Linked DNA regions of Nothobranchius furzeri. The protein of the gene in region 1 interacts with the protein of each later gene in a pairwise test. Links are inferred from orthologs where the notes say so. Each region holds a gene or a part of one and is shown on either strand. Other genes may lie near its edges. The genes, in order: araf, nelfcd and rras.

What was found.
Region 2: the proteins of araf (region 1) and nelfcd interact in binary tests that used the Homo sapiens proteins (3 or more experiments, as listed by UniProt). The link is inferred for Nothobranchius furzeri from reciprocal best matches to the Homo sapiens genes ARAF and NELFCD.
Region 3: the proteins of araf (region 1) and rras interact in a two-hybrid assay, tested with the Homo sapiens proteins (2 studies listed by BioGRID). The link is inferred for Nothobranchius furzeri from reciprocal best matches to the Homo sapiens genes ARAF and RRAS.

The regions. Positions count from the first base shown.
Region 1 is NC_091757.1:26,527,211-26,530,864, reverse strand, and holds part of araf (serine/threonine-protein kinase A-Raf), read left to right. Parts: intron 1-1,617; coding exon 1,618-1,736; intron 1,737-2,274; coding exon 2,275-2,403; intron 2,404-3,654. UniProt on the Homo sapiens protein: Involved in the transduction of mitogenic signals from the cell membrane to the nucleus. May also regulate the TOR signaling cascade. Phosphorylates PFKFB2.
Region 2 is NC_091743.1:48,868,870-48,872,523, reverse strand, and holds part of nelfcd (negative elongation factor C/D), read left to right. Parts: intron 1-270; coding exon 271-436; intron 437-515; coding exon 516-650; intron 651-1,299; coding exon 1,300-1,439; intron 1,440-3,654. UniProt on the Homo sapiens protein: Essential component of the NELF complex, a complex that negatively regulates the elongation of transcription by RNA polymerase II.
Region 3 is NC_091758.1:14,005,221-14,008,874, forward strand, and holds part of rras (ras-related protein R-Ras), read left to right. Parts: intron 1-1,831; coding exon 1,832-1,940; intron 1,941-2,393; coding exon 2,394-2,512; intron 2,513-3,563; coding exon 3,564-3,651; 3' UTR 3,652-3,654. UniProt on the Homo sapiens protein: GTP-binding protein with GTPase activity, likely involved in the regulation of MAPK signaling pathway and thereby controlling multiple cellular processes. Regulates the organization of the actin cytoskeleton.

The DNA.
Region 1 (3,654 bases):
GCTCGCACCCCCCACCCACCAGTCCGCACCGCGGCTGGACAAACCTCTTGGGGAAACACTGAAACCAGAACCGGTCCGTCTTCAACAAACTAAACGTCATTTACAAACACTTAGTCGTAAACAATAATTGTTGTTTGTTTGGAGAACTCAAACACTTGTTCATGCTACTTCCTGTCTGTGCTCACGGCTGCTGTGTAAACATCTGAACAGCTGGACTGATTCTGACTGGTGGTTGAGGGTCAGTCGGGTCACATAAACTATAACTCAATCATCCATCAGCGTCCGATGTTCTGTGGTTAAGTTCTGGGTCCTACGGAGCAGTCAGATGAAATGATTTAGTGTCCAACTACTAGTTCAGTCCCAGATTGAAGGCAACGACCACCAGTGTGAATGGTTCCTTTAAACAGGTGGATTAAAATAATTGACCCCCTGCTGATTTTGCTAGTTTGGCCGCTAACAAAGAAAGGTCGCTGGTTTATTTGAACAGTGAGAAGGAACAAAAACCCTGAAAAATGTCTAAACGGTGACACATCACATGGCTTTTTTATGAAGGAAACGAGGATTTGACCCTTTGGGCTTTAGCTTTGTTGATGTCAGAGGTCAAATGTCCTTTAGTTGGACACAAGGTTTACACACATCTCAGGATGGGTTTTTCCCCATTCCTTTATGTAGACCCCCCCTTTTCTTGAGTGATTTAGCTACATCTGCGATGTGCGTAGAATAAAATGTCAGTTCGTCTGCATGCGTCGGGGTAATTCTTTCTTTCTCCGTCAAAATAAACGGCTAAATACGGGAACTGTCCGGTCAACACAAGCCCTGCTTTTAACTGTTCTGTTTTCTTGTGAAAATAGATAAAATTAAACTTGATTAACACCAGAGCCAGGCGCACTGCGCCGTTATCTCCGTCACTGTAAATGAGGGAAAAACAAAATGATCGGATCCTTTTCTGACCTTCCCCACCTACAAAGTTTAATTACAACAATCAAACGTGACAGAGCCTGAATTTGTATTCTGAACAGTCTAAACATGTTTTAAAAAGAAACGTATGACAAAAGTGGCACCTGCTCAGTAAAACCACCAACAGGGTGAAAAAAATCAAAATATTGTCGGCAGAGACGGGCTACAACTTCTGGATCCACTTTATATAAATCGTTTTATTGATTATCTTCTTATGAAAGATAACTTTGACGTACACGAGCGACCGGTACCGGCTGCTGTCACCTGTTGTGATTGGTTAAAGCAGCTCTCTGCTGTCTGAGGGTAGGCCCCGCCCACAACGCCGCGGCTGCTGTGGCTCCCAGTGCTTTCTTTACTGTGGGAAACGGGTAATAATGGCTCTTTGATGGGAACAGGTTGCCGACCCCTGACATAGACGTACTATTTCTAGAGTGATCCTTCCTTTCCTTCAGTGGGCTATCCTAAGTCGGCGGGGGTTCAAACCCTCTTCCCACTGTTGATCAGTCGAGTGAAGCAGCACACAGCTGAGTATGAAACCCACCTTTGACCTAAGTCAGGTTTTGGTGATGGTTAAAGTTCTCCATGGGTCGGCCCCTCTCACACTGTGCAGATGTTTTGGTGTGTAACTCAGAGGAACCGTCTTCTAAGCTTTGCTGCCAGACATCTTTCTCCATGAAGGCTGGACTGTTAAAATTGGTGACTTTGGTTTGGCCACGGTGAAGTCTCGTTGGAGTGGCTCTCATCAGGTCGAGCAGCCCAGTGGGTCCATTCTCTGGATGGTGAGTTTTCATGAACAAACCCTTGAAATCTTAGGTGTGTTCTTGCTGTGCGTCATTTCTAACTCCATGTTGTCGTTCTTTTTTAAAACACAGAAACGGTTTTGTTACCCATTATTGACGCTACAGTTTCGCCGTCGAAAAAGAACGACAACATGGAATTAAAACCTTGAAATGCATAAAGAAAAGAACAAGAGAGCCTGAAAACGAATTGACAGAAGACAGATCGTTCTGTCCATGCCCACCTAAGTTCAGTGAACCTGGATTTGAACAACAGCGTTGTACTTCCTGGTTTAGGTCCCTGGAGGGTGTGGTTATTTAGCTGGGAGGAGATTTTACAGCTCCATACTGATTGGTCTGTTTGCAGTCTCGGCAGTTTACAGTTGGTTCTCCTTTCATGTTACTTCTGTAATTTCTCTTGTGTTTGTAGCTAGTAAGTTTCACCAGCGTCTGCTTTGTTCAGACTACGTCCTCAGCCACATTTACTGAGAGTATTAATGATTGAATTAGCTAATCGTAGGTTTTCCGCGTTTCCTCCCAGGCTCCAGAGGTGATCCGGATGCAGGACAACCCGTACACATTCCAGTCAGACGTGTACGGTTATGGAGTGGTGCTGTTTGAGCTGATGTCAGGATTCCTGCCTTACTCCAACATCAACAACAGGGACCAGGTCGGACCTCCTTCCAGTCCTTTTACAACCGCTGTAGAAGTCAACGTCACAGAGCCGCTCTCCTAAGTCGTCCCCCGAACTGCGTAAAATGTGGCGTACTTTAAAAAAATAAACGATGTAAATGTTATTAACGTCTGTAGCTTCACATCACCTTTTTGGGCTGACCGGTGTCATCACTCACCGCTGAAACGGTCCAGATGCGCTGACACAACAGCTGTGAGGATGAAGCCATCGTGTTTAAGTGTCCTGGAATTCGACTAGTGGGAACGCAGCTATGATCTGCAAATAAGGGCGTCTATGTTGGGTAAAGAAAGTCCAGTTGCTACCAGAACTGGTCCAGGTTCAGAGCTGGTTTCATTGTTGGTGTCATTCTCTCATAAACCCATCTTCAGTGGAACATCAGTCAGGCAGTAAAACTCTGAGAAAACCATCAGACATGAATTTATCAGAAAACCCTTCAATATCACCAAAGTAACCCAAAAATGACAATACCAATTATTACATAGAAATAAACAGACTAAAAATCCATCCATCCATTGTCCTCCGTTTAGCCGGGTCGGGTTGTGGGGCCAGCGGCCCAGACTTCCTTCTCCCCAGCCACTCGGGCCAGATCCTCTGAGGTAATCCCAAGATGTTCCCTTGCCAACCAAGAGGCAAAACAGTCCCTCCAGCGTGTCCTGGGTCTTCCTTTAGTTCTCCTTCCAGTTGGACGAGCCCGGAAAACCTCACCAGGGAGGCATCCGGACCAGATGCCCGAGCCACCTCAACTGGCTCCTCTTGATGTGGAGGAGCAGCGGGTCTTTCTCTAAGGGAGAGCCCAGACACTCAGTGGAGAAAACTCATTTTGTATCCGCCATCTCGTTCTTTCGGTCACCACCCAAAGCTCGTGACCATAGGTGAGGGTAGGAATGTAGGTCGACTAGCAAATCGAGAGCTTCGCCTTCTGGCGCTGCTCTCTCTTCACCACAACAGACCGGTACAACGCCCGCAGCACCAGTCCGTCTGCCGTTCTCACACTCCATCTTTCCCTCACCTGTGAACAAGACCCCGAGATACTTAATCTCCTTGACTTGAGGCAGCACCTCGTCCCTGACCTGGAGAAGCCATTCTACCCTTTTCTGTCTAAAATTCAGCTGGTGAAAACCAGCCGTCGCTCTTGAATTTCTGTCCAACCTAATCATCAAAAACAAAAAAAACTAATGAAACCAAAACAATATGACCCTAAGTTAGTGTTTAGCAGTTTAACAACAC
Region 2 (3,654 bases), on another chromosome or scaffold:
CGGATTCTGCCGTCGGGGGGTGGGGCCCGCGCTCTGTCCCGCAGCGCTCCTCCGTGAGACTGGGAGTTTTCTCACCAGTATCAGCTGATGGAGGGCTCTAGTTTTGTTGCGCCGTTCGTGCCGCCAGGCTTATAAAGCACTGGGGGAAACCCTGAAAAGTAACTAGTTACAGTCCATGTTAAAGAAGAAAGTGCTAGCAGCTTGATTTTGTGTGTGTGCGTTTAGTACATGTCAGTATCACTATTAACGCTGATTTCTGTTTGAATCCAGGGGTCATGATGCCAGTCAGATCACCCTCGCACTTGGTACGGCAGCAGCCTACCCTCGAGCCTGCCAGGCTCTGGGCGCCATGTTGTCCAAAGGAGCCCTGAATCCTGCCGACATCACAGTTTTGTTCAAGATGTTCAGCAGCATGGACCCGCCTCCTGTAGAGCTGGTGAGAATAAACTCCTTCCCATGTTTTATCCCTTGTGAAGGTGCTCTTAATTAAAACATTGGTGTTTTCTGCCTTTTAGATCAGGGTTCCTGCCTTTCTAGACCTGTTCATGCAGTCTCTTTTCAAGCCTGGATCAAAAATCAACCAGGACCATAAGCACAAATACATCCACATTTTAGGCTACGCAGCCAGCGTTGTTGAGACGTGGAAAAAGGTACAGATACATGTTTGAAATGTGCAGAATTCACATGTTTTACTTGTCATCTTGATCCACTGAGGCCTAGTCCACACGTAGCCGGGGTTTTTTAAACACGAATATCCGCCCCTCCAAAAACTTGCATCCACACCACCGCGTTTTAAAAACAAACTCTGTCCACACGTACCCGGATAAATACGTTGTTAAGGACATGCCAGACCTGTAGGCGGCAGTACTTACCCCGTTCTTAACCTCGTCCTTCGTCTGTGGTCTTCCGCAAGGAGCAGTAATTCCGCTTGCAAAAACAAACAAGCAGAAAGCGCTTGGACAATTGATGGATCGGGTAGTGACAGAGCACAGCTTTGAGGGCATCCATGATGCCGGCTAGTGTAAGCACAGTTCGCACACGTGATGTCAGCATTTTTTGTCGCGGAAAGTGACGTTGCGGACCTTAAAACTCCGGTTTTGTCTGTCCACACGCAGACACCCAAAACGGAGAAAACGCAGATCTTCACTTTGGCCGGAGTTTTTAAAAAGATCCGTTTTCGTGTGGATGACAGGCCAAAACGTAGAAAAATATCTACGTTTTGGCAGATCCCTGGCTACATGTGGACAGGGCCTGAGACTGCAGTCTTCCTAACGTTTTAACCCTCTGTCTTAATACCAGAACAAGCGAGTCAACATCAATAAAGATGAGCTGAAATCAACTTCCAAGGCCATAGAGACCGTTCACAACCTGTGCTGCAATGAGAACAAAGGAGCTACAGAACTGGTGGCTGAACTCAGCACCTTGTACCAGTGCATCAGGTCGGTCTAAAGGGAACACTGTTGAGTAAAGGATGATGGATTACAGCTTAGTGGCACTGTTGAAAGTAACGTATTGCAAAAGTAATGGCTTATAGGAATATGTTGCTTTTTTCAATAATACAATATCAGTAACTCAAGTTATATTAAGTGCTTTCAAAATGATTTGCATTGATATACGGATTAAAACATGCTAAAAGCTCTTCTAAAAATGCTACTGTTGTGAGTAGGGATGTTCAACATTATCGGTCACATATACATCAAACTCTTCAGCTATTCTCTCAAAATGTCAAAATATGACAGATCTGAGTAGGGGTAGACCGACATATCAGTTGGCTGATGTATCGAGCCGATGTTTACCGGTTTTTATACATCAGCATCGGCCGATATTTGTCCTTTAATAAAGCCAATTTAAAGTCAGGCACATCCTTGGGCAGCCTGGTGCTGTTGCAGGATTTAATTTAAATGTATTTTTACGTTCACTATTAACTTCTGCATAATAAATACTCTAAATTAACTTTATTTAGGTGTCTGACTTTAACACATATCAGTAATAGAAAAAAAATAACAGTCAACCTCTAGATCTGAAGATACTGTAGTTTTTTCTGTTTGTGGAGTAGTAGTTGGGATCTGCTGTCCTCACAGCACATGGCTACGCTACAGCAAACAAACAAAAACTAAAATCTTCACACAAAGTTTGCTTTTCTCTTCTGAACATCTTTATAAATGTTTTATCACCATAGCTTCAATATAATAACATAATAAGTAAGAGCACATTATTACTAACTAATGCACACTTCTTGGCGTCACACTTAGGGAGAATGAGATTCAGATGCAATATGTCACTTTTCCTATGAATAACTTAAATTGAAGTAGTTGTCATTTTGCACAGAAAATATTTAAAGTTTAATCATTGGAGATATGTGATGATGGCAACCTAAAATGTTTTATTTTTATTTATTTTTTTATGACAGAGGGACACAGCAAATATTGGTATCAGTGTCTGAAATTATGAGTTAGACCAGGGATTCCCAAAGTGTGGTGCGCGCACCCCCGGGGGTGCGCGAGCTGCCACTAGGGGGTGCGCAAGGTGAAAAGTGTAATGGCTGCGGAGCTCAGAGAAGTCTGTCAGATGTCACCTTTAACGTAGCCAGAAACTCATTTGTGGGTGGGCCAAAGAAATAGTAAGAGGGCACAATAAATTTAATTGAAAACAAGTATATTTTTGCGTGTGTGTCCTCCACATGTGCCCTAACTTCATAATAACAATGCGCCGAGCTTCAGCACTCTGGCCTGCGCACGCCGATATGTTCCGTATTTGATCATTTTTAACGGTGTTGGAGAAATCTGAAGGTGGCGAGTCATTCTGGCAGATTGTAATTAACACCCTGTCTCATGCAGGTGTTCTGACATTGTAAACCTCACACACAGAACATTGTGGATGTAACTAAATAAATCAAGAAATTATTCCCATCCAGGCTACTAAAAGCGCGCTGAAGATCTGAAGTTCAGAGTGTGTCTGTCAGATCAGATGCGTTCCAGCGGCTCTCGGGTGCACAAGTGAGCACATCTGGGCTGGGCAGAAGTTTAAATAGCACCAATAACGAGACGCAGTGACTTAAACTCTGCAAGTTGTGAAGCGCGTTCCATCCGCCAGCCGCATCACCAAGCGGAAAGTGAATGCGTCAAGCATAAACCAAGCTTCATGGAGCTGTGCCCTGCGCACGCACACACACACACACACACACACACACACACACACACACACACACACACACACACACACACACACAGAGATTCAATAAGCACGCACGCCGCGCAAACTCCGGCGCGCCGTCAGACTGAAGACAGAAATGAGCGCTGCCTCCTCTGTGATAAAAACTTTTAAGAGGTTTTATAACATTTTTCATTCAAGGTCAAATTAAGATATTAGCTTCTATTTTGGGATGACGTATTAAAGTCGGGTCCGCTCCAGCCAGTGACTCCGAACCTGAACTCATGCAGCATTTGTTATTCTGGTCCACGTGGCAGCGGATCGCAGATTCAGCCACACCATAAAACAGCAATAAGTCGGTCTGAGGTAAAAGTGAACATCATGGCTATATCTTGTCCCCTATTGACATTTGATTACGCACAAGTAGGTGACCAGCTCAGGTTTACGCAGAGCAGAAGGAAGGAGAGCGCTCTGGCCGCACAGGTTAAACGTTCCTACTTTAAG
Region 3 (3,654 bases), on another chromosome or scaffold:
TAAGCGGCTAGAGAGAGAGCAGCGCTACGTCCCAGGAGCACCCGTCCGTGCAGAGGTGCTGAAGAACGGCACCGGTTCTATTCCGTAGCTGTTTACAACCTTGTGGAGTACTTTACAACAGACACGACGCAGAGCGGCTCTCCGGCACAAACCCAACCACCAACACATGGACAAGGAGCTTATAAATGCTACTTGATTACAGTACTGATAACTTTAAAGTACTATTGATCCTAAAATATTGTAATAAATGGTGCACTTACCCATTTTAACCCTTTGATGCATGAATAATGAAATCTTCAACCACGATTTTTTAAACAATTTTTTTCATTCATATTTAGGTGTGAATGAAACAAATTTCAACAAATATCTTTTGTAAAATTTTGTTAATTTACAAATAGTTTATTACATGTCCAACTCAGGGGACAGCGTGCGTTCTGAACATGAAATGTGTTGGCTTGACTTGCTGAAGCACAAATGGAGGGGCTCACATGCAATAAAGTCTTCAACAGCTGTGCTTAATAGCAAAAATAAATAAATAACAATTTTGAGTACCTGTCCACTGTAGTGACCATTATGCACCAAAGGGTTAATGAATTAGTCTCACTAAACTTGACATTATGTCTGATCACGCATAAAGTGTCACTTTCCGCTTCCTGTTCTCAAGTCTCGCGTGATGTTGTGACTATCGCGATTTTCCAAGAAGCGTTCAGCGGCCTAGCGAGCCCGATGTGACCACTTGACCTCCCAAAACCGCGGCGCTTCCGTGGCGTAGCGTATCTGTCTCTGTGTGCCCCAGCTGCTTGTTCTGCAGCGTGCGTTACCATGGTGAATGGGTGGGGTTTCAGGCTAGCCACATTCATAAAACCCATTTAGGGGCGGGAATCTCAACAAAAGCCTGGTTTGGGAAAATCTTGCATTTTGGAATGCCCCCCCCCCCCCCCCCCCGGTTGATGTAAGCAAAAAGGTTCTGTCCCAGAAACAATCAGGTTCTCAAAGGTTCCAGGTCCACTCTTTCAGGGAGATGCTCCAACACATCTGATTTAAATACCAAGCATCTGCAGGAAGTGATAAACATGTGATCCAGGTGTGCTGGAGCAGGATGGGTGCCCTCTAGGACAGGTGTGCCACCTGCGGATTCCACCTGAGACATTTGAGGAGACGGTTTTTTTTCATTAGATTTGATTTAAATGTCATTTCAGCAAAAAATGCCAACTTGGTTTTCATTTTTCATGTTTTGTGGTTCTTCATCATCCCTACAGCAAACAGAGCTTGTTTTACCTTTGCTCACATGTTTTGGCGTCTACTGCCAGCCTTGTCAGCATAACCACCGATGTCTGTCTATCGCCTTCTGCGTCACGAATGGTCCAGCGTGTATACTCGTGGTCCTGGGTCCACTGGGGGGGGGGGGGGGGGGGGGGGGGGCAACACTGTAACACAGCAACTTTACAAAAGGAGAAAGAACAGCCGTGACATCCCTCGTCGTTATTCTACCAGCAGACAGGAAGAACAGTGATGATGGACAAAGACAAATATAATCAACAGGTGGATGCTCGAGGAATAAAACCCACACGAAACACCGAAAAAGATCCAACGGAAGACATGAAGACCAGCAGGGCCATGTCATCCTCCGCTGACCGCAGATAAACGGAAATGACGTCACCAACATCGGCGGTTGCTCTGACGAAGGTGGCAGTAGACGCAGAAACATGTTAGCAGAGGTAAAAACGATGGTGTGATGAAGAAGCACAAACGGTTAGATTGGATAGAAAACACAGAGCAAACGTAACGCCTTGTTCTTTTCTCAGTTTGAGCCTTTTGTGTCTTCCTGCAGTTACCACGAGGTCCAGAAGTTCCACACCCAGATCCTGAGAGTGAAGGACAGAGATGATTTCCCGATGGTTCTGGTGGGAAACAAGGTGGACCTGGAACAACAGAGAGTGGTGAGACCTCCTCTGGAAAACACTGACACATGTTCCACCTAGGGTTGTCACGGTAACCGGTGTGGCGGTAAACCCCGGTAAAAAAGTTGACAATAATAAATGCACACCTTCCGCTGCTGTTTCTCTCCTGTATCAGCTGATGGAGGGCTCTAGTTTCGTTGCGCCATTCGTGTCAGCAGACACGGTAGGGGCGGGGCATGACGCTTAGCCTGGCGGGCCAGCAGGCTTATAAAGCGTGTTATAAAGTTTTTATATCTAATAATGTTTCTTTATTTCTGACAGAGACCTCTCCTCTGTCCCGACCGTCTTTAAAACCTCCTTTCCTCAGTACTGCTGTCCCGGTTCGATGGCTGGGACAGACTTCCAGGCAGCAGGACCCCGTAAGGGTCAGAAACCACAGCAGTGAGAACCTGATAACTGGACTCACCTGGACCTGGTTGTGTCTGTCTGCAGATCTCCAGAGAGGACGCTCAGGCGTTCGCCTCGGAGAACAGGATCCACTACATGGAAGCTTCTGCCAAAAACCGCTACAACGTAGACGAGGTTTTCCTGGAGCTGGTGCAGATCATCAGGTACAGAACCTTCTAGACTCATGTCCATGTGTCAGAGCTTCTGCTGAAGAATCATCTGGATTTCCTTTGCTTTAGTCTAGTAATCACCTGAAGCACCATTAAAGCTTCTTTCCGGAGTATTTCTTATCCGATGGCACCATCTAGTGGCTGACAAGCATATCACACACAGTCTATTCCTCTGTTTTTTTAAGATGGCGACTTCATGTTTCTGTTTATAAATGTGCTTCTGTAGCCGACAAACAGCTAAAACACGTAGTTTTACGAGTATTACACTCATGTCATGTTGAGTTCTCATATATTTATATTTTAGAGACTTTCTTGTCTGTGAAAAGTTCATCAACTCTGCATCAGCCGAGGTATTCCTTAAACATGAAGCAAGTAAGCGGTGGTCTAACGCTATTGGTTAGTTCTGGTCGGGGCTCCGTTTCCTGTTGACGGGCAGAGTGCTTCTAGGATTAACTTTATCTCACCATCAGGACGGAGAAGCTTCTGGTGTGGCGTTAAACACGCCTCAGCTGTTGGTGTTGTCACTGTTCCTGGAGTCATGTGGTCACCGAGCAGACCGCTCTGTGGTTCTAACAGAACCCTGCTTTTATTTTATCGTCTCGAGGTAGAACGTTCCAAAACGTCACGAGTTGTTTCAGCTGAAGGCGACAAATCAGAGCAAACATCAGGCTCTGTATCCGGTGTTGTGGTGCCGTGACGTCACTGTAACACGATGGGATCTGTTGGCGTGGTGGTCACGTGTTGTTTAATCAGGACACATTCCTCCCAACCGAACCGCCCTGCGACCTGAACACCACCCTATCTGAGCCCACCACATCTGGAAGAAAGGTCCATGCCAACCCGCACACACCTGTATGAGTGGCTGTCCTGTTCTTCTGCAACAAAAGTGGAAAATGAGAACATAAAAGGGTTGGTGCTGGGTCAGGATGACCACAGCAGTGTTGGAAACACAATCCTGGGCTGGACCCAGATCAGAACCAGCAGCTCTGTACAATGCCAGAGTCCTGGAGGTCTTGGTGTTGATGGTTCCTCTTCTTGCTTTCAGACGGTTTAAGGAGTTGGAGAGCCCCCCTCCACCGACCCAGCAGACCAGGAAACCGAACCGAGGAGGCTGTCCCTGTGTCATCCTCTGAGCT